2 linked regions of the Xenopus tropicalis genome follow. Each later gene encodes a partner of the first gene's protein in a complex. Links are inferred from orthologs where the notes say so. Each region holds a gene or a part of one and is shown on either strand. Other genes may lie near its edges.

Evidence for each region.
Region 2: the proteins of anxa11 (region 1) and tardbp are in contact, whole or in part, in a cryo-EM structure (PDB 9FOR), measured with the Homo sapiens proteins. The link is inferred for Xenopus tropicalis from reciprocal best matches to the Homo sapiens genes ANXA11 and TARDBP. Residues at the interface, in NP_001148.1 of Homo sapiens: Gly56, Met57, Ala59, Met61, Ser62, Gly63, Phe65, Asn69, Pro71, Asn72, Leu73; in NP_031401.1 of Homo sapiens: Ala328, Leu330, Ser332, Trp334, Gly335, Met337, Gly338, Met339, Ala341, Ser342, Gln343.

What each region holds. Positions count from the first base shown.
Region 1 is NC_030683.2:53,068,603-53,080,797, forward strand, and holds part of anxa11 (annexin A11), read right to left. Parts: intron 11,204-12,195; exon of another isoform or gene 11,115-11,203; intron 8,713-11,114; 5' UTR 8,689-8,712; coding exon 8,643-8,688; intron 7,347-8,642; coding exon 7,252-7,346; intron 4,427-7,251; coding exon 4,025-4,426; intron 3,691-4,024; coding exon 3,606-3,690; intron 2,410-3,605; coding exon 2,315-2,409; intron 1,034-2,314; coding exon 920-1,033; intron 1-919. UniProt on the Homo sapiens protein: Binds specifically to calcyclin in a calcium-dependent manner. Required for midbody formation and completion of the terminal phase of cytokinesis.
Region 2 is NC_030683.2:64,769,722-64,781,916, forward strand, and holds the end of tardbp (TAR DNA-binding protein 43), read left to right. Parts: intron 1-935; coding exon 936-1,099; intron 1,100-2,341; coding exon 2,342-2,482; intron 2,483-3,329; coding exon 3,330-3,497; intron 3,498-6,438; coding exon 6,439-6,954; 3' UTR 6,955-8,006; downstream 8,007-12,195. UniProt on the Homo sapiens protein: RNA-binding protein that is involved in various steps of RNA biogenesis and processing.

The sequences.
Region 1 (12,195 bases):
GTATGCCTGCAGCTTGAGACTCTTTACTAGCCTTTCCTTCTCCTTTAAAGGAATATAGTCATGGGAAAACATGTCTTTTTCAAAACGCACCAGTTAATAGAGGTTCTCCAGCAGAATCCTGCACTGAAATCCATTTTTCAAAAAGACAGATTTTTTTTATATTCAATTTTGAAATTTCATATGGGGCTAGCCATATTGTTCCTTTCCCAGGGTGCCACAGCCATGTGATCTGTGCTGTGACAAAATTTAAACCTGGGTGCCAGAGTGCAAGTCCAAGGAAAGAACTCAATGTTTTTGACCTTTGTTTTCACCTTTGTCAGGAGCAATAAATGAGGTGGCACCTTAAAAAGCCATTTCCAATATGAAGGGTTGTCCACAAACTTTTGCCCATATAGTGTAGCAGCCTGTCTTTATCAGAACCCTTGAATGAACACTGTAGAAATCAAATACCAGCTTTGATGCCAATGTTTATGCACTGGCACTTGCAGCATTACATCAACTGTTCTGCTATAGGCAAGCTATGTTTCAGAGACAACTAATATAGCCTGTACAGGATACAGTAGTTAAGACTATGTTTAACACAGTCCTTAGTAAGGGGATGTGCAGGTCCCTGTACTCGGAAATGGAGAGCAGATGCCTGTGGCTATTTGCAAACCAAACGCAGTATGCAAAAAAACGGGCAAATGCATTTTCTGCACTTTGTACAGTGTTCAGCTTAGCAAATGAACCCTCCTTTGTTTTTTAAACACATTGCAGCGCTTAAAATAAAACAAATATTTTCAGCCTTATGCAAGGTGATTTATGAAGTATGTGAATTAAATATGTGGATAGTTGTTTCTATGATTAATGAGTGGTTCAGAATCAACCTCTTTTTTTTTTTTTTTAAAGATTATATTTTGCATATTTTTTCAGAACCAACCTTAATTGCCTCATGTATCTCATGCGCATCATAAAGAGTTGGAGTTTTCATCATTGCCAGGATTGTCTTCTCAAAATTCCCAGAAAGCTCAGACTTTAAATCTTTTATCAAATCCTATCAATTTAAAATAAAAAAATTAAAAAAAAAAACAGATAAAATGTTGAATTAGTGCATCAGAATGCAAATTGCCCAGTGGACATCGTCACCTGTACAAAATTCCTGAGACTGTCAATACTAAGGGGCACATTTATCAAAATACAATTGTTTCCAAATACAAAAAAATTGTATTTTTTCTAAGTTTTCGTACTGTGCTTATTTTCTGCGTTTTATTCTTGTTTTTTGTTTTTTCGTTAATTTGCACAACTTTTTCGCACTGGGAGACTTCCAAAAACATGCACAGAAGGAAGAAGTCAGAAAGGTTTTTTCCGCCGTTTACTATAGTTCGGATACGAAAATTTAGTGACTTTTGGATTGCAAATACAATATTATCATGACTATTACAATTTTTCGTATGAATTTTTGTGACATTTTGGATCATCAGAAATTATCGTATCTAATCCGAATTTTACTCATTTCGGGATTCGAACTTGTACTTCGATGAATCTGCCCTTAACCAACTTCGCCAAATCTGGCTACGAGTTGCATGTTTAGAATATAAGGCAAACAATATTGTTCATTTAACATTTTACACGCAGGAGATTTGCAGTAACATACACAATTTGCCATGATCCCTTTGCTAAACGTATATTGAAACAGTAGAATTCTTAATGAATCGCATAAGTCAGTGTAGGACTGGCCAGAAGGGATGACTTTGACGTAGTTGGCCAGCTTGAAGTATATTGCAAAGTATGGACAAACAATCCCTATTTTGTTTAAGGGGGAGGGCATTTCTTAGTAGCTTAACGCACAGAATGTCTTAATGTCCTATAATGTATATATTGATAATGGGTGAGTGCAGAGGATCTCTTGTTGTTGTTTATATATATAGTCCAACTAAAAGATAGCACACCATGCGAAGGGGGTTAATACCAGGGTTTCAGTCCCACACACAGGTATGGTATCCGTTATCCGGAAACCCGTTATCTAGAAAGCTCCGAATTACGGAAAGCCCGTCTCCCATAGACTCCATTTTAATCAAATAATGCAGATTTTTAAAATTTAAATAGGTAACGTATATAGAAAAAGCTAATATAAATCATAAAATAATTGATAATTAAGTTCTGATAATCTATTAATAATAATAAAGAAAGTGAAACTACTTAAAATAATAAAGAAAGTTATAAATACCTTCACTTATGTGCAAATAGCAGATGTTAATAAATGCAATATTAAACAAATAAGCAGCACTGAGCCAACCACGGTTTAAATTTACCTCTGACCCTGCCCACTACTTACCTTTCCATAAGCAGTTTTAAAAGAGAGGCTGATCTGTTGCCTTTGTTTGTTAGACCTACTCCCCAGGCATTCAATAATGGCCTGCTCGTCAGTTCCTGATTTATAAGAATGTATAGCATAGTAAGTAAATAGTATATTTATTCACAAACCTACATATATTTGATATGGAACTATGATAATATAAACCAAAAATACGACAGATACAAAAAAAGACCCAAGTGTTACTGTAATGGTGTTTGTGGTTAAACACATTTATTTTTTAAAAGATACATTTATGGTAAGGCCCCATAAGGCGGATTCTCAGCCAACAGTCCTGTATGCTTGAAAAATCTTCTAATTGTGCCTGCATATAGAAGCATTGAATCTGGCCAGGTGCAGGCACACTCAGCCAATAGCCGCCAACAAATGTAGGGACAATTAAAACATTTTTGTGGCTTTGTGGGGCCTTACCCTAAAAGGAGAAATGCTTTACTATACCGGAGTAAACAGCCCTAGAAGATCTCTATGCTTGTTTAAGATAGCATCTGCCATACACGCCGCCTCATTTTTCTAAAGTTGCATGAAGTTGCCTGCAGGAGGAAACCCTGCATGACTTCGGAAAAACAAAGCGGCCCGAATGCCTTTTCACTGCCGATTCACTTTGCTGCTGGTGGAAAGGCATTTTGGAGAGATTAGTCGCCTGCGGTAACACACATTTATCACAGACAACTAATCACTTCATGGGACATTAGCCTTAAAGGAGAAAGAAAGGTAAAAACTAAGTAAACTTTATCAGAAAGGTCTATGTAAATGCAGCCATAAGCACTTACAGAAATGCTGCACTAAGTTCTTTGTCAAAAGATTAGTTGTGTCTGTTTTCCTCTACCAGAGACACGCAGCTCTCTCCCCTCTCTCCTCTCCTGCTCCACCCCCCTCAAGAATGCTAAGAACTCACTCCCCCCCCATAGGAATGTGGATCTGAGCCAATCAGCAGAAGGCTTCCTCACAGTCTAACTAACTGAGCATGTACACTGGTCTGGGTCTTGGAGCAGGAGCAAGGCATTATGGGAACTTTCTTTACACAGCTAAGCGTTTTTTCTTCCTGTTTGGCTTCTGATCATCTGAACAGGTGAAATATGGGGAGACTTAAGGGCACTATTGAGAGAACTGAAGGCATGCCTGCAGCTTGAGATTAACTCTTTATTAGCCTTTCCTTCTCCTTTAAACATTAGAGCAAATAGCATTTTAAATGCCATTCCTTTCTCATAAATACCACAAATTAATGAAGTTTTTTTCTTTCAGTGTGTCTTACCAAAGCCTTTCATGGCCTTCCTGAGCACCTCAGCATCTCTCAATGCATCAAAGTTTGCTGCATCTGTGATGGTTCCTCGTGTTACCTAAACCAATTACAGATTAAAGGAAAGTTATGAACAAATGGGACAGGAAAAAATATTGATTCCTGACCTCAGTCAGCCAGTACAGATGAAGTGTAATAATAATCACAGATAAAACCAGTTACTGAAAACATATTGAATAAACTACTATTATTCTATTAATTATAACATAAATATAATTGTAAAATATTATATAATTTTACAATAAAAAGCTGTATTACACATATTGAACAAAGGTAGACTTACAATGATGCTTGCCTGATATATACTTAAGTAAATATAGCTCATTAGATACAAATGTGGAAACTTTTTCTAATGTAATTAAACGCCATCATACCTTTCCATATGAAGGTATGACAGTAGGGGTTGTTGAAGGTGGCATCCCAGGAGATGGGTAAGATGGATTCATTGCTGGGCCTTGAGGATAACTTGGTGTAGGCTGCTGTCCAGGATAGTTCATTGGGGGTTGTCCAGGCATGGGCATTTGGGGCTGGCCAGGTGTTGGCATGGGTTGGCCTGGCAGAGGTGCCGCTGGGTATCCTGTGTTATACCCAGGCATTCCTGGCTGTTGGCCTGCTCCTGGAGGAGGATACATGCCATAGGAAGGAACCTGAGGTTGCCCAGGCATTGGTGGTGCTCCATATCCACCTGGAGGTGCTGGGTAGCCACCTGGAGCTTGAGGGTACATCCCCTGTTGTTGGTCCATTCCTCCAAACCCAGCTGGCGGGAACCCTGAGGTCTGCAGTACATAAAAAAAAATACTGTTTGCTGTGAAGGTAAAATACATTATTTTAATGGTTATGGTTAAAGCATTAATTTAAACGTGTAAGATTGCCTTTAAGTTAACGTCTAGCATAATATAGAATGTCACATTATTAGCAAGTTTTCAAGTTATCTTCATTTTTTTTTTATAATTTCTGAATTAATTGGCTTCCTATTCTAATTTAAGATGGGGGTCACTATCTACATCACACTAAGGGGCATTTATGAACGCTCGAGCCTTCAGGGTTGAGCATACATATCCCAAAACCATGCAAGAGTTCCCACACTCTCACATGGTTTCTTTCTCCAACCAAAAAATAAAAAGTCTGGAAGTCTTTGGTGCTAAGCATTTTATTTTGTTGGTCGGGGAAAAGAAAAACCCGATTTGCACGAATCGGGCTATTCGGATGAAGAAACCACGTGGTTTTGGGACACAAATGCTCAAGCCCAAAGGCTTAAGCGTTCATAAATGTGCCCCTAAAGCTTAATTTAAAGTGGTAGTGCCCCTTTAAATAAGGATACAAAATATTATTGCGAGTGAATCAAACCTTATAATAATCTCATTACCTTACTTCACTAGTTGCATATGAAGAAAAACTACAGCCAATGTGTCTACTGTCCTCACAAAAATTAATAAAATGTGATTTAATGGATCGGTTAAATTGCACCAGTGCAGTTGAAAAAAGTGTACAATCACCAGTCAGCTTTGATCAGTCTACTCAAAGTTAGAAAATAAAAGCAAAGAGCAGACTGGCTCCTATAGATAACTGCACTGGACGAATTCAGTATCCTGTAAGTAAACCCTTGCCTGTTTCAGCAAGATAATACCTGTGTGAGCAAAGTAAGGTTCATACAAAACTGGTATGGAAACACAGGAGTGGAACCTGACTTCGCCTGCAGTGCTGAGCAAACATTTTTGCCAGGTTTCAGCGCGGACAAATGCCCAGAGACTTTACTGGCTAAAAAAAGTTGCATGGTAAAAAAAAAAAGGCACCAACTGACTTCAATGTGCTTCACAATTTTTTGCTAATTCACAATTTTTTTTGCCAATCTAAATGCGACAGATTCACTCATCACTAATGACCAGCACAGAGCCATAACTTTAAACCAACTGAACACAGGTGGGATGAATTGGAGTCCAATCTGAGGCAGGCCTAATCGCCTAAGGCTGATGCCACACCAAGCTTGCCGAAAATTCAGCCCTACGCCTGCTACTTGTGCCTGCACCGGAATGAATGGGATACGCTTGGGTGCAGGCACAAGTAGCAGGCGTAGGGCTGAATTTTCGACAATCGTTTTTCCGCTTGCCGAAAAAATCAGCCCTACGCCTGGTGTGGCATCAGCCTAACATCAGTGACCTCCTATGTAATAATGGAATGAAGGCCACAAAAATGTTCCCAAAACTAGTGGATTACGTTCCCTGTTAAAGCAGCAAAGAGAGGACCAACTTCAAATCATTAACCTTTTTTGATTAAGATGTTGGACAGGCAGGCCAGGATTTGTGGCGAGGCAACAAAGGCCCGGGCCTAAGGCGGCAAAAATTCAGGGGCGGCATGCAGCCCTTCCGCGCCGAAGTTTCGCTCCCCACTGCTCCGTATGAAGTTTAAATTGTCGCCCGCGCGAATGTGCATGCGTGCGCTCGAGGGGGGGGTTGGGGTGGGGGTTGAGTTGCGAACGAGCAAGCGCGTGGGGGGTGGTGAAGTGGGTTGGCCTCGGGGCACACGGATAAGAAATCCAGCCCTGTGGACAGGCAGGTGTCCACAAACTTTCAGCTTTACAATGTATGTTACCCCTCACTCACAAAGCAATAACCTGGTGTCCCTCCACCCAAGCTGAGGATCTGAAATATTTGGGAACCTTTATGCAACCTGCCAGACAGTACTGATCTCTTCTTATTCAATGCAGTGAAACTCAACTTCTGCAGACTGGCTGAAGTCAGTTTGTCCCCCCACTCATGTACCTGCAGGTATCAACCGGGGGGAGTCTTTTTATGTGCATAATGGCAGCAGAACTATCGGGGAAACATTGGCAAAATCCCTTGGAGAGAAAAGTGGACCAAGAACTAAGAGTGCTGTATTCATTTTTTACCACAGCCGAAGCAAAAATGTAACAGCAAAAATAAATAAAATGTCTGGAATCTTAGATTACCATGTGGGGTATTGTCTGAAGTAATCACGTATGACCTAAAGTAACATAAATAATGGCATATAGAAACAGTATACTAATTCCTGAAGCTGTCTACCCAACACTGAGTAAATGCAAGATTCTTTGAAATATACACTGTCATTCACAAATGAGAAATCAAAAATTTTGAGTTAAGCTGGCCATACACATACCAATAAAATTGAGAAAACCTAGTTTCGTACGATTTTTAGACTATTTGTGGGCTCCAAATGATCGTCCTGAAAATTATCTTACCATGGCGATTGGTCGTTAAGTTGATCGGCCAGATTAGAAAATTTTGGTTGGATAACGATAAAACCTGCGCATATATCTGACAATATACTTATGGGACCTACAACGAAAGTTACTTTCGTACGATTGGTGTCTGACAATTATTTCATGTTCAGGACATCCTCTGATTTGTATTTTAAAGCTTTATCCTACAATTTCAGTCTGAATGTTAGTTTCAGATTTCTGCATTTAAATGTACGACCGATCAAACATTCATCAGAAGAATACTAAAATCTGAACGTGTATGGCCACCTTTAATTTAAAATATAGACAGTCAGACAGATGGACAGATAAGACAGATGGTTTCCAATTTAACAGCAGACAATGATTCTGGAAATTTTCACTCACCATGTACTGTTGGGGGTTGTATTGCTGAGAAAAGTTTGACATGTTATCCAGCCCAATAGGAGGAGGGTTAGCAGGAGCTCCCCATGGGTTACTACCTACAAAAGGGACAAAGAAAAGGAACAGAGAAGGACATATTACTTGAAATTTAGGGTTGAGTGATAGTAAATACTTTTTAGTCTCATCATAGAAACATGCTATAGGTATGAGACAAAAGTGGTCATTTATGATGGAGATTGTGTTTAAACATTTAACTCATCAACAGATGTAGACGACTGGCTCGCCTGGAAAAATCCAAAAAGGTCACCCAGTGGGCCAGTAGGCCAGTTGGACAGCACTGGCCTAGGGTAATCTCAGATTATTCTCCGTTATGGTTGGAAATCCAGCTAGGATTTCCAACCATAAGGCCAGCAATTATGGCAAATATCCCCGTAATGGCTCTCACACCAAACAGTGGCTGATTTCAGAAAATGTTAGTTTAGAGCTTAATACATAAAAACGCACCATTTGATAAAAATCCCACAGGAATGAATAGAACGTAAGTGGGTTTATATGAATTAAGTTATAAACTCACATTTGAATAAATCTGCCCCTTAGCGTCCTCATTACATAACCCCATAATGGGTCGTGGGCAAACATAGTGCCTTTATTGCACATGTGGGACGATATTGTGCAGTTCTTATCAAGTGACTAAATAGTAGTGGTAAGATTTACTATCGTCTATCCAAAAGACGCAGCTGCTGATTTATTAAGTTTCAATTTTGCTGCAATTCATGATGCTTTTTTTATGGTTTTTTAATCTTGATCTTGTTTTTCCCACAATTTGGATTTTTTTTTTTATCACATAAAAAAAAAGTCTGAAAACTTTTAGATTGTGGGGCTTTAATTGTTATTTATTTTAAAGGATCATTTTTTTGCTGGAAATTTGTTGAAAGCTTTTGAAGTTGAATATGATATTAATCAGCCCCATGTTTTGGGTGATTCCAAGTGGTTTGCCACCCAAATAATTAACAGCTTGATGGGTGGGCAGCATAATGATCAGAATTGCCCCTTCAATGATCTGAATAGTAATTGCTGGGACCCTGCTGGTAAGCTGATCAGGAAAATGATTATTGCTTTGAAATGTGGCAGTGGCTTTGCAGATCTATAGTTGCCTGACTAGTGAGACAGTAAGGACAGGGCTAGGCTGATGCCACCTATAGTGCACTACTGGGCAAACTTAGTGCCTTTTATTACATAAGGATTGTGTGCTTTTTTGTCTTTTTTCTTTTCTGGAGAAAAATTGCGGCTATGAAAATGTCAATTTTCTGGTTTGACATCAGCCTTAAATACACTGAAACCAGGTATGTATCATACAGAAAATATTCTGAAATCCAGAAGAAAAATTTACTTACCTGTGGGCACTGGTGGAAACCCACCCGGGTATCCTGGGTAGCTCATTTAACTGGGATTTGATAGTCCTTTCTGAAATTATAAATTTCTGTATTACAGACAAATATAACCAAATGCTTGTATATAAAATTATATCTTAAAATATAAAATTTCTCCTTTTTTTTCCATAGTCTGCATGCACACAGCAGCAGTTACACCAACTCCGCCCCCCCCCCCCCCCCCCCCTGAAAGTCAGAATATGGGACTGCGGGCTGAGTTGTTAAAAGAGGGACTGTCCTGCAAAATTCGGGACAGTTGTTTACCCTCCCCACATCCTAACTTGTGGCACCCTTCAGTTCTCTTTTAAGAGCTCTGGCACACGAGGAGATTTGTCGCCCGCGTTTTTTCCCCCAGGCGCTTTGGCGCCACGACAATACACACAAAGAGATTTCATGCGAGTTGAGCTCCAGGAGATCTGCTACCCATGGTACCACACAACAGTTACCCCTCCCACATGTTTACTCAAGTCGCTCAGGAAAGGGTCTGTGTGCGATTTGAAACAGCAGGCGACTTGAAGTAGCCTCATATGTTTTGACGCTGGCGATTTCCATTGGTTTAGCATTGGCGTCTTGTCGTTCGTCTTGTCGCCAAATCGCTCTTTTAAAAATCGCTGGCGACAAATCTCCTCCTGTGCCAGAGCCCTAATTGTGTCAGGGAATCATTATGGTTCCTAATCTACATCTGTTCCTTTGTCTTGTTCACCAGGAATTTGCTATACAATACTGTGTTTATGTTATAAATAAAAATCAATTCATCATGTTTTACAATGGTATGCCGAAAGAGAAAAAAAACAATAGCTGATAATGTTAATTGTGAATTTGCAGCTAGATTTAACTTTCATTAAAGTTTGTTGAAATATATTTCTTTCACGACCCATGGCTGTAAGCCAAAGACTATGCAGTTGCTCAGTCATTTTTATGTATGTTCCCTGTCACTGTTCCTATTAATAAAATCCCTGGCAGTGACATGTCATGCATCAGCTCTAGCACAAACATCCCTCTAGGGCAGGGCATCGGCACACAACATAACAGTTGAGCTTTCAGTCCATCAAGTTTAACCTGTTTGTGAGAATAAATTGCAAGCTGATCCAGATAAATGGGAAAAACCATTCAAGTCTCTGTAATTGCCACAGAGGGGGGGGGGGGGGGGGAGATATTTTTTTAATAACTGGGCAGTCAGTTCCGTTCCTGGATCAACTTTGTAGTAAGAGTTGATTCAGTTTAATGTTTAATAAACATAAAGAACCTAAATGTAAAAAAATAGCTTTCCTGTAAACTACTATACAACTCTACTCTCTGCAGAACTGAACTGAAGATTTAGTTTTTGTTTTTTTTTGTGGCTTTCTTCAGTCTGCAGTGGTCTAATATAAAACAAGGTGTTTAAAGGTGGCCATAAATGGGTCAATAAAAGCTGCTGACGGTTGGCAGTTTATTGACCAGTATATGGGGCCCTCAGACAGGCTTACCTGACCGGTATGTGGCCGAAAATGTCCTTGCTTTGTGTGCTTAAGCAAATAATATAAATGAGCCACAGAGTTTCTTCTGCCTGATAAGTTCTAAGTGTGCTTATGCCTTTGTGTATTAAGCACTTGGGGAGTGTCAGAATGAAAATAGTTCCAGCAGCTGGCAGCATTTTCACCCACGCATCTCACATGGGCAAAGCTTGATAAACATGCATTTACTTGCCTAGCAACTAAAAGGTTAATTGGCTCCTAATAAATCTGATCATAGTGTATGTGTGTGTATGTCCCACTAGGAGACTGATGTGAATGATGTGCAGTATAATCTCTAATATCTCTATAAAAGCACTGTGGGGCTTATTTATTTTTGAGTTTGTTTTTCTAAAACGAAACTCACATATCGAATGATCACCTATTTATTAATAAGCAAAATAAAAAAACTTAGTATCTCAAATTTTTCAAGTTTACGAGCTCTATAAACACAAAACATTTGAGTTTAAGAATAAGGCTTGACTTTGCCTATGACAAATCCCATTGACTTCTATAAAAACTCACAAGCTATTAGATGGTGAATTTTTACATTCGAGTTTTCAGGGTTTTTGCACTTAATAAATAATAGACATTCAAGTTTTAAAACCATAACTCAAATTCAAGGTTTTTTAAGCGCAAAAAAAAACTCAAATGGAGAAAAAAAATCAATTATAAAGAATAATAATAAAATACGGAAATAAAATAAGGTATGGAGATCCAAATTACGGAAAGACCCCTTATCCGGAATACCCTTGGTCCCGAGCATTCTGGATAACGGGTCCAATACCAGTACTGACTCGGGTAACTTTCTATTTTCTTATCTTAAAGGTTAAGGAAAGTTAAATGGGATGTTCACCTTCAAACAATAGCTCAAATTTGAACAGCCCCTGTCAGAAAAAAAACATTTTAATATTTAAAATGGTTAGCTTTGAAGCAAAACACTCACCAATCTTCTCTCTGCTCTTTCTGTAGGGGATTTTCCAGACCAGGACTTGGCACACTGAACTGGTTCTGCACTTGCCTTCCCTCTCCTGCTTCATTTGAATATTTTTTTATACCACTGTCTGACAAGATTCAGCCAATGGCTGAAAAAAATGCAAAATGCAAATAAAGCAGGAGAGGGAAGGCATGCACAGTAATAAGTTCAGTGCAAACTTCCTGTTTGGGCAATATGCAAGTTTGGTGTTGACGATCCCATCCAAAGTAAGAGGAGAAAGCAGAGGAGAGAGCATTCTAGCAGTGCTAATCTGGGTCTGTAGCTTCAAAACTAGCATTTTAAATAATAAAGATGAATTACAAAACTGTTTTGTTTTTTTTCTACAGGGGCTCTGTCAAATGGCTGAACATCCCTTTTAAAATCACTACAGCTTCATAAATAATTAACTATAAATAGCTTCAGTAGCAGCCCACTGCAACATTTTAGGGCAAAGGTCCACAGATTAGTCACCCGCGGTTAATCTAACGCAGTTCTTCCTGCAGGAGAAAACTTCATGTGACTTCGGAAAACGAAGCACCGTGTAGGCCTTTCCACTGGTTCTTCACTTTTTTGCTGGTGAAAAGGTATTTTGTGGAGATTTTTGCTTGTGGTAGCCAGGATTGCAGGCAACTCATCTCGTGAGCCAACATTCTTAATCCCTTATTGTATATATACAATATCAAATTCATGATACTATTTGTATTTGTATTGCTTATTTTTTTTTAAGGTCATCTATTATAAATCTTCCATAATGTTTTGAAACCTGACCTTGGGTTGCTATGGCAACAAACCCCATAGCAACCAGGTAACTTTTACAAAAGCTACACAACTAAAAATATGAATAAGTTAAAAACCAACCAAAATAAATAAAACTAAAACACTGCAGAATTCTGCTGCTCACGTCATACTAAAAACTACAACCCCATTAGTAATCTGCTCTGTAACCTTGCTTTAAATACAGTTTGTTGGTTTTCAGACAATTTAACATTAGCCCAGAGTATTATGAAACTAGTGATCCCATAGTGTACTCCTTGGTCTCTAAACTGTGTAT
Region 2 (12,195 bases), about 12 Mb from region 1:
ACATGCGCTTTATCACTTTTGTAGGGACATTGATAGTAAACCTAACTTTTATCTTTAAATATTAACTAGAACATTGATTAAATATTTACATACAATGTGATGGTTGCAGCTTTTAAAAAAGTTATTTAAATATTAAAGTGGTATTTTAAATAGTCTTATAAAACCTTGGCTTTTTACTAAAGTGTAACTTTACCTATGCACAATACCACCTCCAACGCAAAGTTTTATTTGAGAATACTGAACACTATGTATTAAAGGTTTACTACATAAGTTTTGGTTTTCAGTTTAAAGGCCAGTTTAAAACTCCTTGGTGGGTTACATCAGGCCTAGCTGGACAGCTTTGCTCTAAAAATGTCTTATTGCAGTGTGTTAGTGCAGAGAAATACTACTATGCTGGACCCTCTTTGCTTATCTCATGAGCCTTTATGACTAATCTCCCCGAAATGCCATCCCACCAGCTAGAATGTAAATTGCCGGTGCGATGGCATACGCAGCGCCGCGCTTTGCCGAAGACGCAGAAGTTTCCTCTCAAGGCAACTTCCACAAATTCTGGCGCCACGTATGCCATCCCACTGGCCATTTACATTCTAGCCAGTGGGATGGCAGTTCGGGGAGATTTGTCACGAGGCGACAAATCTCCCCGTCTGTCACAGCCCTTATGCGATTAGGCTGTTTATTTGTCATAGCTGCAACACTACAAGAACACATAACAAAGATTTTGACTTAGTGTCAAAAAACAGTGCATTTTCAGCCTTCAATATGACTACAACCTGAGTAGTAACCTCTTCAGAAGCTTGGAGATCCTTTCTCTTATTTGCTTTCTAGTTATATCCCCTTTAACAACTTTTTTACTTTTATGGAAATGCCATTTGTATTGGTGAACTAGCTTTGCAATTAAAATGTGCATCTACTTTTGTAAATGTTTTTTACATCAGATAACAAAAGGAAGATGGATGAAACTGATGCTTCTTCTGCAGTCAAAATAAAACGTGCAGTGACAAAAACATCAGATCTAATTGTGTTAGGTCTTCCGTGGAAAACCACAGAACAAGATTTGAAAGACTATTTCAGCACATTTGGTGAAGTGATTATGGTGCAGGTACCTAAACAGGGTTTTGATTTTTTTTGTTTTGTTTTTTTTGTATGTGTTTAGAAAGGATATTTTTAATGGGAAATTTGTTACTATAAAAATATGTAATGCTCTTTTTTTGTTGCAGATGTTAGTATTGGTAGGTTGACAAATAACTATAACGCCATTGCATAATAATCGCCTTATATATGTTAGATACAGACAGCAGTTTAGAAAGGAATGACATGTCTATATACATATGTTAACACTTATGTGGAAGTTTTTTCTCTTTGCTGTTGCCTAGTAGTGTTATGGATGGTCGGTTCTGACCTGGGCATCTACAAAAAGTTTGCATATTCCCCTTATGTATTTTTTGGATTCTTGTTTCCTCCCACACACAAAGCAGCAGGTTAACTAGCTTCAAATAGAATTTTGTCAGTGAAATTGGAATCTTGGACTGTAAGATATGCTGGGGCAACAATGGTATCCATAATGAGCAATCTTTGCTGCATAAACATAATATGCATGTTTTTTTTGGTATTGGTATACTGGCCTCTAAGTTCTATGGTAGAAATTTCAGGCATTTTTGTTCCCTCAAAAGGCAACAGCAAACATCTGAAAATAAACCCTTTGCTGGTAAAAGGGGAACCGCTGAAATCTCCAGCCCTGGTAAAGGTCCCAGTACAGGTATGGGATCAGTTATCCGGAAACCCATTTTCCAGCAAGTTCTGAATTACGGAATGGCCATCTTCCATAGACTCCATTATAAGCAAATATTTCAAATTTTTAAATTTGATTTCCATTTTCTCTGTAATAAAGAAACAGTACCCAGTACTTAATTACAACTAAGATGAAATTAATCCTTATTGGAAGCAAAACAATTCTATTGGGTTTAATGTTTTAATAATTGTTTTTAGTAGACCTATGGTATGGAGATCTAAATTACGGAAAGACCCCTTATCCAGAAAACCCCAGGTCCCAAGCATTTTGCGTAACAGGTTTTGTACCTGTATAACTTAAAAACAATTTAGACCATTTGTGTGGTTTCACACAATTGTCAGATGATGGCAGTTTTTTTTCTGCTTGTAATGCTGCATCCTTATTGCTTAAAACAAACTTGAATCTTGTTGATGTTGCAGAGGAGAAACTTTGTCACTAAGTGTTAATAGAAATAACTAGCAGTAGCTATCAGTCCTGAAGTCTTAAAAGAGGTTTTCTTTCTTTAATGCCAGGAAGGATAATTTTATAATAAACTATCAATTTTTCTTACAGGTAAAGAAAGATGCTAAGACAGGTCATTCTAAAGGATTTGGATTTGTTAGATTTGCAGACTATGAGACACAAGTAAAAGTGATGTCTCAGCGTCATATGATTGATGGCCGTTGGTGTGACTGTAAGCTACCAAATTCTAAGGTAATGTTACTAAATGCATAGAAATGCATTTTTCTACCTGTTAAATTACTATTGATCTTTTGCAGTCATGTTTTGTCGGATATTTACATTCAAACTCATTATAAATGAGTGCAAACTTATGTATGTGGATGCATGGATTTTTTTTATTTATTTTTTAGAATTTCATTTTTTCACCTGCTTTATTCCTGGTTCTTGGCAAAAAATATGATGGCACATGGGGCATCTTCTCAGCTGGCATAATTTAGTCAACACAGGTGCTCAGACCACTCTTTTCCGTTGACTGTAATGGGAACAACCTGACCCTCACCCCCAGTACTGTCCGTTCATTGAAAATATGCTAGTGTTTCTTTAAACAATCCCTTCCCTGAGAAAGCTACAGGTTTTAATCATGTGTTTCCCCCTCATTAAAGCTGTTGCTTCTTGCAACTTTTATGAAATTGCATACCAGGAAGTGCATTATCAAATGGAACTCCATACACTGGCCCAGATCAAAAGGTTCCCTCACTGGTTCCTTATAAAACCAATTTTTATTTATTTATTTTGAAACTATAGGGCACGCAAACATTTTCCTCAGGCCACTCTGCAATAAAGGGCAATTGTCACAAAATATTCTATTTTGCTGACACTTAGAGCCTTTTGGCACAGCCCAGATTCCATATTTGTTACCGATTTAAAGCATTTAATATGTGTTAATCATGTAGGCCAAAAAAGTACGCAAAAGTAATTTTTTTCCTGGTAGGCTGTTTTGATTAGGTCAAATATAAGGTTTAACCCCTGGGCCCAAAAAAACTTATCTGTAATAGTCCAAGAAAACACAATTTTAAAACCTAATTCAAATTTTCCTTAGAGTCCAGATGAACCTATGCGCAGCAGGAAGGTCTTTGTTGGGCGTTGCACAGAAGATATGAGTGCTGAGGAGCTTCGCCAGTTCTTCAGCCAGTATGGAGAAGTTGTGGATGTCTTTATTCCAAAGCCTTTCAGAGCATTTGCATTTGTTACATTTGCTGATGACCAGGTGAGGAAGCTAATGCAACTTAAGTGCTTGCAAGAAAAATCCACAATTTTTAATGTTAGGGCATTGGATTTTGGGCTATTTGGCACAAGTCACCTCCCTTTGAGGTTTGGCCCTTGGTTATGGCCCCCAGCTCATAACAAGGGTACAGTTAAATGAAAACATGCATATATTAGCCATTAAGCCATAATTTTAAACATTTCTGACCAAAATTGTTTACCCAAATTTTGCACTAATTGGCCTCCAAGCCTTTCCTTTGAATATCTAGGCCAGCAAAAAGGCATTTCCAACCACTGCTTTGGGTGGCCTTAGAGGGACCAGCCTTGTGGTTTGGGAATCATTGTGTTAAAGGGCAGTGGTATAGTATCAAGCTTCAGAGTCTTTTGATCATGCTAGTCTGCTTAAATGCAGGTGTACTTACTAAAGCTTATAGAAAATAAATCATTTTATCCTTCACTGCAGTCTCATTTTGCAAGTGTCCTATTTTTTATTTCCACTTGCTTGCAATTAAGTTTGATACAAATCCAAATGTGTACACACTAACACCACCCAAACATACCATGTGCATGTAGTGAAATGCACTCCGTATTGGGCTACCTTTGGGGAAACTGTTTAGGAATAATAAAGGTATTCTGTGGCCGTCACTGTAATACTGTTTCACTGTGTCTGGGTCCATTCAAGCAGATTATGATCAGGAGTGCTGGTAAATACATCTGGCGAATGCTTACAGCATGTCTTTACAATGATCAGCTACACAGAAATGGTTTCAACACCTTATCCTTTCATTCAGGTAACAGTCAGATAAGGTATCACTGTACTAAATATTTTGGCTAGCATTGTATAGCCAAACAGGCCAGTTATCTTCCATGAGTATCTAGCTATTGCCATGACTGTTTCTAAAACTCTCTATGAAGTCAAGCAACAGATATCTTCCCATTACTGTCAGCTGGAAGTGCAGTCCATATTGCACTCAAGTGCACTGGACTGGATGGCAACTTTTTTGGCTCAGTGCTGTGTGCCGTAAGCCAAGACTCATTTTTTAAAAAAGACCTCTCTGCCTTGCTGCCCTGATTGCAAGCTAATTACATGTAAATAAGTTTAGCCATTTTTGCTGGTTGAACGAAGAGTCACTGATTTTGTCACATTATCTGGTAAGACTGCGATAATATAAAGCTTGTATGTTCACAGGATGACTGATTAAATTGGGCTGCATGGGTTATATGCAAGAGTTTTTCATCAGTCGCTTTCTGGTGCTGCTATTTAAGCTCATTGCTCAAAAACAGTACCTGGTTGACCAGGTTTCCCCCCTTGCATTTTGTATAGGTTCATTGGTCAGCTTGGTGCAGGATGTGTGTGACTGTTTTAAGCTAGTGACACATGCCCAGATTTGGTCAGGCAGTTTGACCTATTTTGACTATACTTGTATGTATGGTTAGTCAGGGGCAGTTTACATCCTGTTGTCCTGATGGATCAAGAATTATCGGCCCTGACAATTTGTCAACTGAAAGAAAGTGCGCTACGTCTCCGCTTTTAACTGCTGTTGCTCCAAATATTTGTCCCTCAAATACTGAATCATACAAAGGTGGTGATAAATGTATATGGCCCCTTATACAGTGTCAACCCAGAGGAGTCGCTCAGGGTACTGTACAGGATGGGCCACATTAGGTGTATATATTAAAGTAGCAGTTCAAAATAACTGGCCGCTGTAAAGATTGTTTGAACTAAATTTTCTTTATCCTTTTCTTGACTTTGCCTGTTATTTTTATTTAGATATTAGACTGAATGTTAGTAGACAGTCGCCTACAACAAACTGAGATGTGCTGGTTCACTGACTTTAATTGTGACCTCATGGTCCCCCCCCCCCACCTACCCAGTCTGAAACAGTTGTTTGAGCAGATGCTGTTCTCTAGTTTGGTATAAGTGAATGCATGGCACTGTACACATACAGGTCCTTTGTTTGCAACCTTGCAACCGTTTCAGTGCAAACTATCCAGGATGTCTACATACTCTATAGTATGCTGTGTAAAAAAAAAAAAAAAAGCGAGAAAATTCACCACACGTCGCCAGGCTTCGCTGTGTAGAAAAAAAAAGGCGTAAAATCGACAATTTCTTTACATGTTTTTTCTTCCAGAACTTGTAAAATAACGGCATAAAATCTGGTGTTCAGACAGCGATCTTCTCCATTTATTTTACAGATTTTTACGTTGTTTTTTCAGTAAATTCGTTTTACACAGCTTAATAAATATGCCCCTTAGTCCAGAAAATCAGATGTCCCATGCTGCTTGATTTTCTGTGCCTGCCCCCTGCTGAGTGTTGAAAAAACTTGCATGTTGTGCATACACCTGCCTTCCAGTTAAAGGAGAAGGAAAATCATTTTTGCATTTTACTGCCAATAGATTAGCCACGTTAGTGCAAGCTACAATGCTATGTTTATTCTGCAGAAAGCTTTACCATACCTAAGTAATCAGCCCTTAAAGCTTCCTCAGTTTAAGATAGCAGCTGCCATTTTAGCTTGGTCTCAGTAGCTTCAAGCTCTAGGTGCTGGTAACTTAGTTCAGATTTGACATTCTGATGGGAGGGGGAGTGAATTGTTATAATAGCAGGAGAGAGCATGTTCAGACTCCAGCCCGTGAAATTAAGGATTTTTATGAGGAAGTCTGATACCTAAGTACATGTGTACACAAAAGAAAATAAATCCTGTTTCTTTTGAAAGAGGACTCTGCATCTTTTCTGTGTGCGCTTATGGCTGTATTTACATAGACCTTTCTGATAAAGCTTACTTAATTTTTACCTTTCATTCTCCTTTAAACTTCATGTCTATGATGCCTGCAAAACAAGAGTGCTGTGTTGACTTAGACTCAAATTTGCACCTTAATGTAAATCCAGATGTGGAACAACTTATGGTTTTTGTGCTGGGTACTCATTCAAATGTTATTTCTTTTAGGTTGCACAATCTCTCTGTGGTGAAGACCTGATCATTAAAGGAGTCAGCGTTCATGTTTCTACTGCAGAGCCCAAGCACAATAACAATAGGCAATTAGAGAGAGGTGGCAGATTTCCTGGCCCAAGTTTTGGGAACCAGGGTTACCCCAACAGCCGGCCAAGTAGTGGTGCACTTGGCAACAACCAGGGTGGTAATATGGGTGGTGGTGGAGGGATGAATTTTGGGGCCTTTAGCATAAATCCAGCAATGATGGCAGCTGCCCAGGCAGCATTGCAAAGCAGCTGGGGTATGATGGGTATGCTCGCTAGTCAACAGAATCAATCTGGCCCCCAGGGAAGTAATCAGGGTCAAGGAAATCAACAAAGGGACCAGCCACAAAGTTTTGGTTCAAATAATTCTTATGGTTCCAACTCTGGTGCAATAGGTTGGGGGTCCCCTAATGCTGGATCTGGCAGTGGATTTAATGGCGGCTTTAGTTCAAGCATGGAATCAAAATCTTCAGGATGGGGAATGTAGTCTTATTAGAAGACACTGGGTTTCTGGTGGGTAATTCATAATTTTTATGGTAAGTATATTGCAGAATGTTTCCAAAAGGTTTTTGAGTATGTTCAGTAGTAAACTTAAGGGAACTGTTTTCTAAGTTTGTACTTCAGTTTAACAATCTGGTCTCAATACTACTTTCTGACTGAACATGCATGTTATAGACCACTGGTTAACAACCTGTAGTAATTCCAGCCTTTTTTCTTTGCCTCAGTCTGTATATTAATGTAAATGGAATCATGCATTTTTGTTTAGGACAGTCTTCCTACCTTAATTGTGTTCACTGCTTCAACTGATCTCTGCTCCTTACCATGCCTTTCTGGAACCTGCTACTGAATGCAGTTGATTCCCTGCCCTGGAGCACTTTTGCCTACAAGCTTTTTCCTAGCCTGAAGATTCATGCTGCGTGATGAGTCTTAAGACGGTGGGTGATCCATTTTTATCCAGTTTGTTTCATGGAATTCGTACCAGCAATTTGAACGCACGGCTGTGAGGTGGAACCAGAAGGCTGTTTGAACTGTGGGATTGGTGTTTCCAAAGAATGAGAGTCTTTGGTATGAGCGAGAACAAGAGCGTATGCAGAGACCAGTGGTGCATTATGGATTACTAAGTTGTCAGTGTCTCTCAATCCAGTGGCAATTATGAGCGTGTGCAGAGAGCAGTGGGAGCAAGTAACGTACGAATGTTTCCTGCATTCGAAGGACTTTAGCTCATTTGAAAGACTGGGGCTAAACCAATTTGCCTGAAACAGTTTGTACATTTTCACCCTACCCTTCTTAAAATGTCTACTGCTGTGAATGCTGTATGATGTGTGCATTTTCTTTGTTATTGAAATGTGAGTCAATGTGATGAACTGCATCTCTGTCAGAGTGGCTTGAAATATGCTTCTCAAGAGTGTAGGGGGGTGTCTTGGTCTGTAAGTAACAACAAGAATGCTGTTTGCTGCAGTTGTGTTATGTTTGGATGCTTTTTACAAGACTTGTCATTGTAGGTTATTAAATAAAACTTTAAATAAGAAATTTCCCTGGTGGTTTGAATTTGTTAATCTTTTTATATATTTAGGTACTCTCCTGTTTGCCTTCAGTTGCAGTGTTGCCTTCCTGTTGCAGTGCTATTTCTGACCTATGTGAACAACCCCCAAACAGTTAAAATTACAAGCCTTAGCATTTCAGAGCAATTCTGTAATGAACAGAACAATACAATTGGATCTATAAAATATATATGGGCAGTAATAACTTTTAGTTTTGTAGAAAAAAGGTAACATTGTAACATTGGTGTTATTTAAAATGTGCTGAAAGAGCAGACTGCAGTGAATGGCCTAGCAATTGCACCTTTTTTCTGTGTAGGCCTCTTCTTTTTAAGGTACCAAATGTATCAAGTCAAGTTGTTCCATGGGCAGATAGTAAGCAGTTCCTTCATTTCATTAACAATTAAGCAAGTAAAAAGCTGGTGCTTTTAGGTGGACTCAAATGCACAAAGAGCCTGATGCCTTTCTTTGCAAGTGGGTAAATACAGTCTATTGAAAGATAGCTCATAGTACAAATTGATCCAGGGACTGTTCCGATTGCCATCTTGGAATCAATGAGGAATTTGCTACTATGTTGTTCTTCCTTAAGAGCTCTTAAATTGCATAGCTTTTAATTACATTGTGTCAGCTTGAGTACGTAAGTTGGGTTGAAAATAAGACACATGTCCATCAAGTTCAACCGTAATGTCTACATATAACCTGCCTATCTGTTAGTTGATCAAGGGAAAGGCAAAAAAAAACATTTGAAGCCTCTCTAATTTGCCACAGAGGGGGAACAAATTCCTTCCTGACTCAAAGATGGCAATAGGACCAGTTCCTGGATCAACTTGTACCAAGAGCGATCTCCCATAACCCTGTATTCCCTCATTTGCTAAAAAGCCATCCAACCCCTTCTTGAAGCTATATAATGTATCAGCCAGTACAGCTGATTCAGGGAGGAAATACCACAACTTCACTTACAGTAAAAAATCCTTTCCAAATAATTAAGCAGAACCTCCTTTCTTCTAAAGGTGTTGGGTGCCCTCGTGTCAGTCTTACTGGTAAATAAAGCATCAGAGAGGTTATATGCTCCCTTTATATATTTATACATACTGTATATACTTGAGTATAAGCCGATCCGAATATAAGTCGAGGTACCTAATTTTACCTAAGAAAACTGAAAAAAACGTATTGACTCGAGTATAAGCCTAGAGTGGGAAAGTTTTTTTTTTTTTTTTTTTTTTTTTTAGCTGTCAGGCAAGTTTGGGAAGGCTAAGGAAGCTGCCATAAAAAATACCTGATGCCCACCACAGTCTGCTTCCCATTGACTTCAGAGCTGTGTAACTAAAACTCCTTGTTAGATTTCTGCCGTGTGCACTCCCCGTATATACGCGAGTATAAGCCGAGACTGCGTTTTTGAGCACATTTTTGGTGCTGAAAAACTCTGCTTATACTAGAGTATATACGGTAGTTATCATATCACCTCTTGAGTGCCTCTTATCCTGTGTAAACTAACCTAACTTGGCCAATCGTCATAACTGGGACTTTCCATACCCTTTACCAGCTTAGTTGCCCTTCTCTGGACCTAATTCAATAACTAATTCAATAATGTCCTGTTTGAGCACTGGAGACCAAAACTGAACAGCATATTCTAGATGGGGCCTTACCAGCGCTCTGTAAAGGGTAAGAATAACACCCTCCTGTGAATCTATGTCCTTTTAAAAACATGAAACTGTATTTGCCCTTGCAGCTGACTCCAAGGTCCTTCTCCATTATGGATTTACCTAGTGCAGTCCCATTAAGTGTTTAAGTGGCTTGCATATTTTAAGCTGGCCATACATGCACAGGTAATATCGTATGAAACCTTGTTTCGTACAATATTTGTTGCGTGTATGGCAACTCGACGAGGTGACCGATAACGCAGGAGGCTGCTGATATCGGTCGACTCGCCGATCGGGCGGGTTATAAGACAAAATCTATGTTCAGGGCTGAATCAGCAGAAGAAGGTAGAAATCCTGTTGTTTCTACCTCCATATCTTGACGATCCAGCCCTGAACATCAGTGGAGGGTTGGAACAATCTTTCATGCGACCGATGGTCGCACGAAAGATCGAAAATTGCCACGTGTGTGGCCACCTTTACATCCCTGGTGCATGACCTTACATTTATCCACATTAAATTTCATCTGCCACTTAGCTGCCCAGATTGCCAGTTGGTCAAGATCCTGCTGCAAGGATGCCACATCCTGGATAGAATTGACTGGTCTGCAGAGTTTTGTGTCATCTGCAAACACTGATACATTACTTATAACATTTATACATTACTTATAACATTTATGAACATGTTAAACAAAAGTGAAGCCAGTACAGAACCCTGAGGGACCATGCTAAGAACCTTAGTCCAAATAGAGAATGTACCATTAACAATCACCCTCTGTACCCGATCCTGTAGCCAGTTTTCTATCCATGTGCAAATGACTTCAGTAAGACCAATAGACCTTTGTTTAGAAAGCGCCCGTTTGAGGGGCATGGTATTAAAAAACTTTTTGGGGTTCGTTTTAGCCTCTGCCACAATACACTCCTCATTTTTTATCTTTTGCCTTCTGGATTGCTGTTTTACATATAACATATAAAGCAATCAATAACTGATACAAGAGGTAAAGAGAGCCCTGCCCAAAAGAGCTTTCAATCTACAAGGAGAAAGGGTTGAGACACAAGGTGTGGGAATGGGCATGACCAGAGTTGTGGCACAGGGTATTGCTTTTAGCAGCACACTGAGGTTATGTTAAAATAGATGAGGGTAAGCTTCTCTAAATAAATGCGTTTTTAGAGATTGCTTGAAGGCAGAGAGATTGGGAGAAAGTCTGACAGATTGTGGGAGTGAATTCCAGAGAATGGGGGCAGCCCTTGCAAAATCTTGAATGCGAGTGTGTGAGGGAATGAGAGGAGTTGAGGAGCGTAACAAGCGGGTTGAATGGATCTAGAGATAGTTCAGAGATGTAGGTTGGGGCAGAGTTATGAACTGCTTGAATGTGAGAGTCATTAGTTTGAATTTTATCCTGGATGGTAGTTAGTGCAGAGTGGCATGCAGAGGAGGAGCGGTTGCAGCGGTGTATGAGCCTGGTGCAGTATTCATTATGGACTGGAGAGGGGACAGTCTTTGGAGGGGAAGGCCAATTAATAGGGAGTTAAGTAGTCCAGGCGAGAGTGAATAAGAATTTTGGCAGCATGTTGGGTGATAAATGATCGTATTTTGAAAATATTTCTTAGGTGAAAGTGACATGATTTGATAAGTGACTGGATATGAGGAGTGAACAATGTGGTCGTTGGATGGGGGAAAGAGAACCAATTCAATCTTAGAGAGGTTTAATTTAAGGTAACGTTTGGACATCCAAGTGGAGATAGTGGACAGGCAGGAAGAGACACAAGTTAGAAGCTCTGGGTTGTGATTAGGAGAGGAAAGATAGATCTGAGGATCATCAGCATAGAGGTGGTACTGAAAGCCAAAAGAATTGATTAATTTGCCAAGTGAGGAGGTATAGAGAGAAAATAGTAAGGGGCCCAGGACAGAGCCTAGAGGAACCCCGACAGAAAGAGGTAAGGGAGAAGACAATGCTCCATTGTAAGAGACACTGAAGGATCGATCTGAGAGATAAGATGAAAACCAGGATAAGGCAGTGTCACGAAGGCCAAGAGAGCGGAGAGACTGGAGGAGAAGAGGGTGATCCACAGTGTCAAAAGCAGCAGACAGATCAAGAAATATTAGTAGCGAGTAGTGTTTTTTGGCTTTAGCCAATAGGAGGTCATTTGTTAGTTGGGTTAGAGCAGTTTCGGTATAGTGTTGTTGTCTAAAACCAGATTGTAGGGGATCCAGGAGGTTATTGTCAGAGGAATAGCGTCAGTCGGTTGTAAAGTAGGTGCTCGAGTAGTTTAGAGATGAATAGGAGCAGAGAGATAGGTCAAAGGTTACTAGGATTGGAGGGATCAAGGGACGGTTTTTCAGAATAGGGGTTACAAGTGCATGTTTCAGTTGGGAGGGAAAGATTCCAGTAGAGAGCAAGGGATTGAATAGATGAGTTAAGGCTTTGAAAAGACGGGTTGGCATTGCGTAGAAGTTTGGTAGGAATGGGATCAAGCGGGCAGGTAGTAAGGTGAGAGGAAGCCAAAAGTTTTGAGATTTCCTCTTCAGTCACTGAGGAGAAGGAGCCAAGAA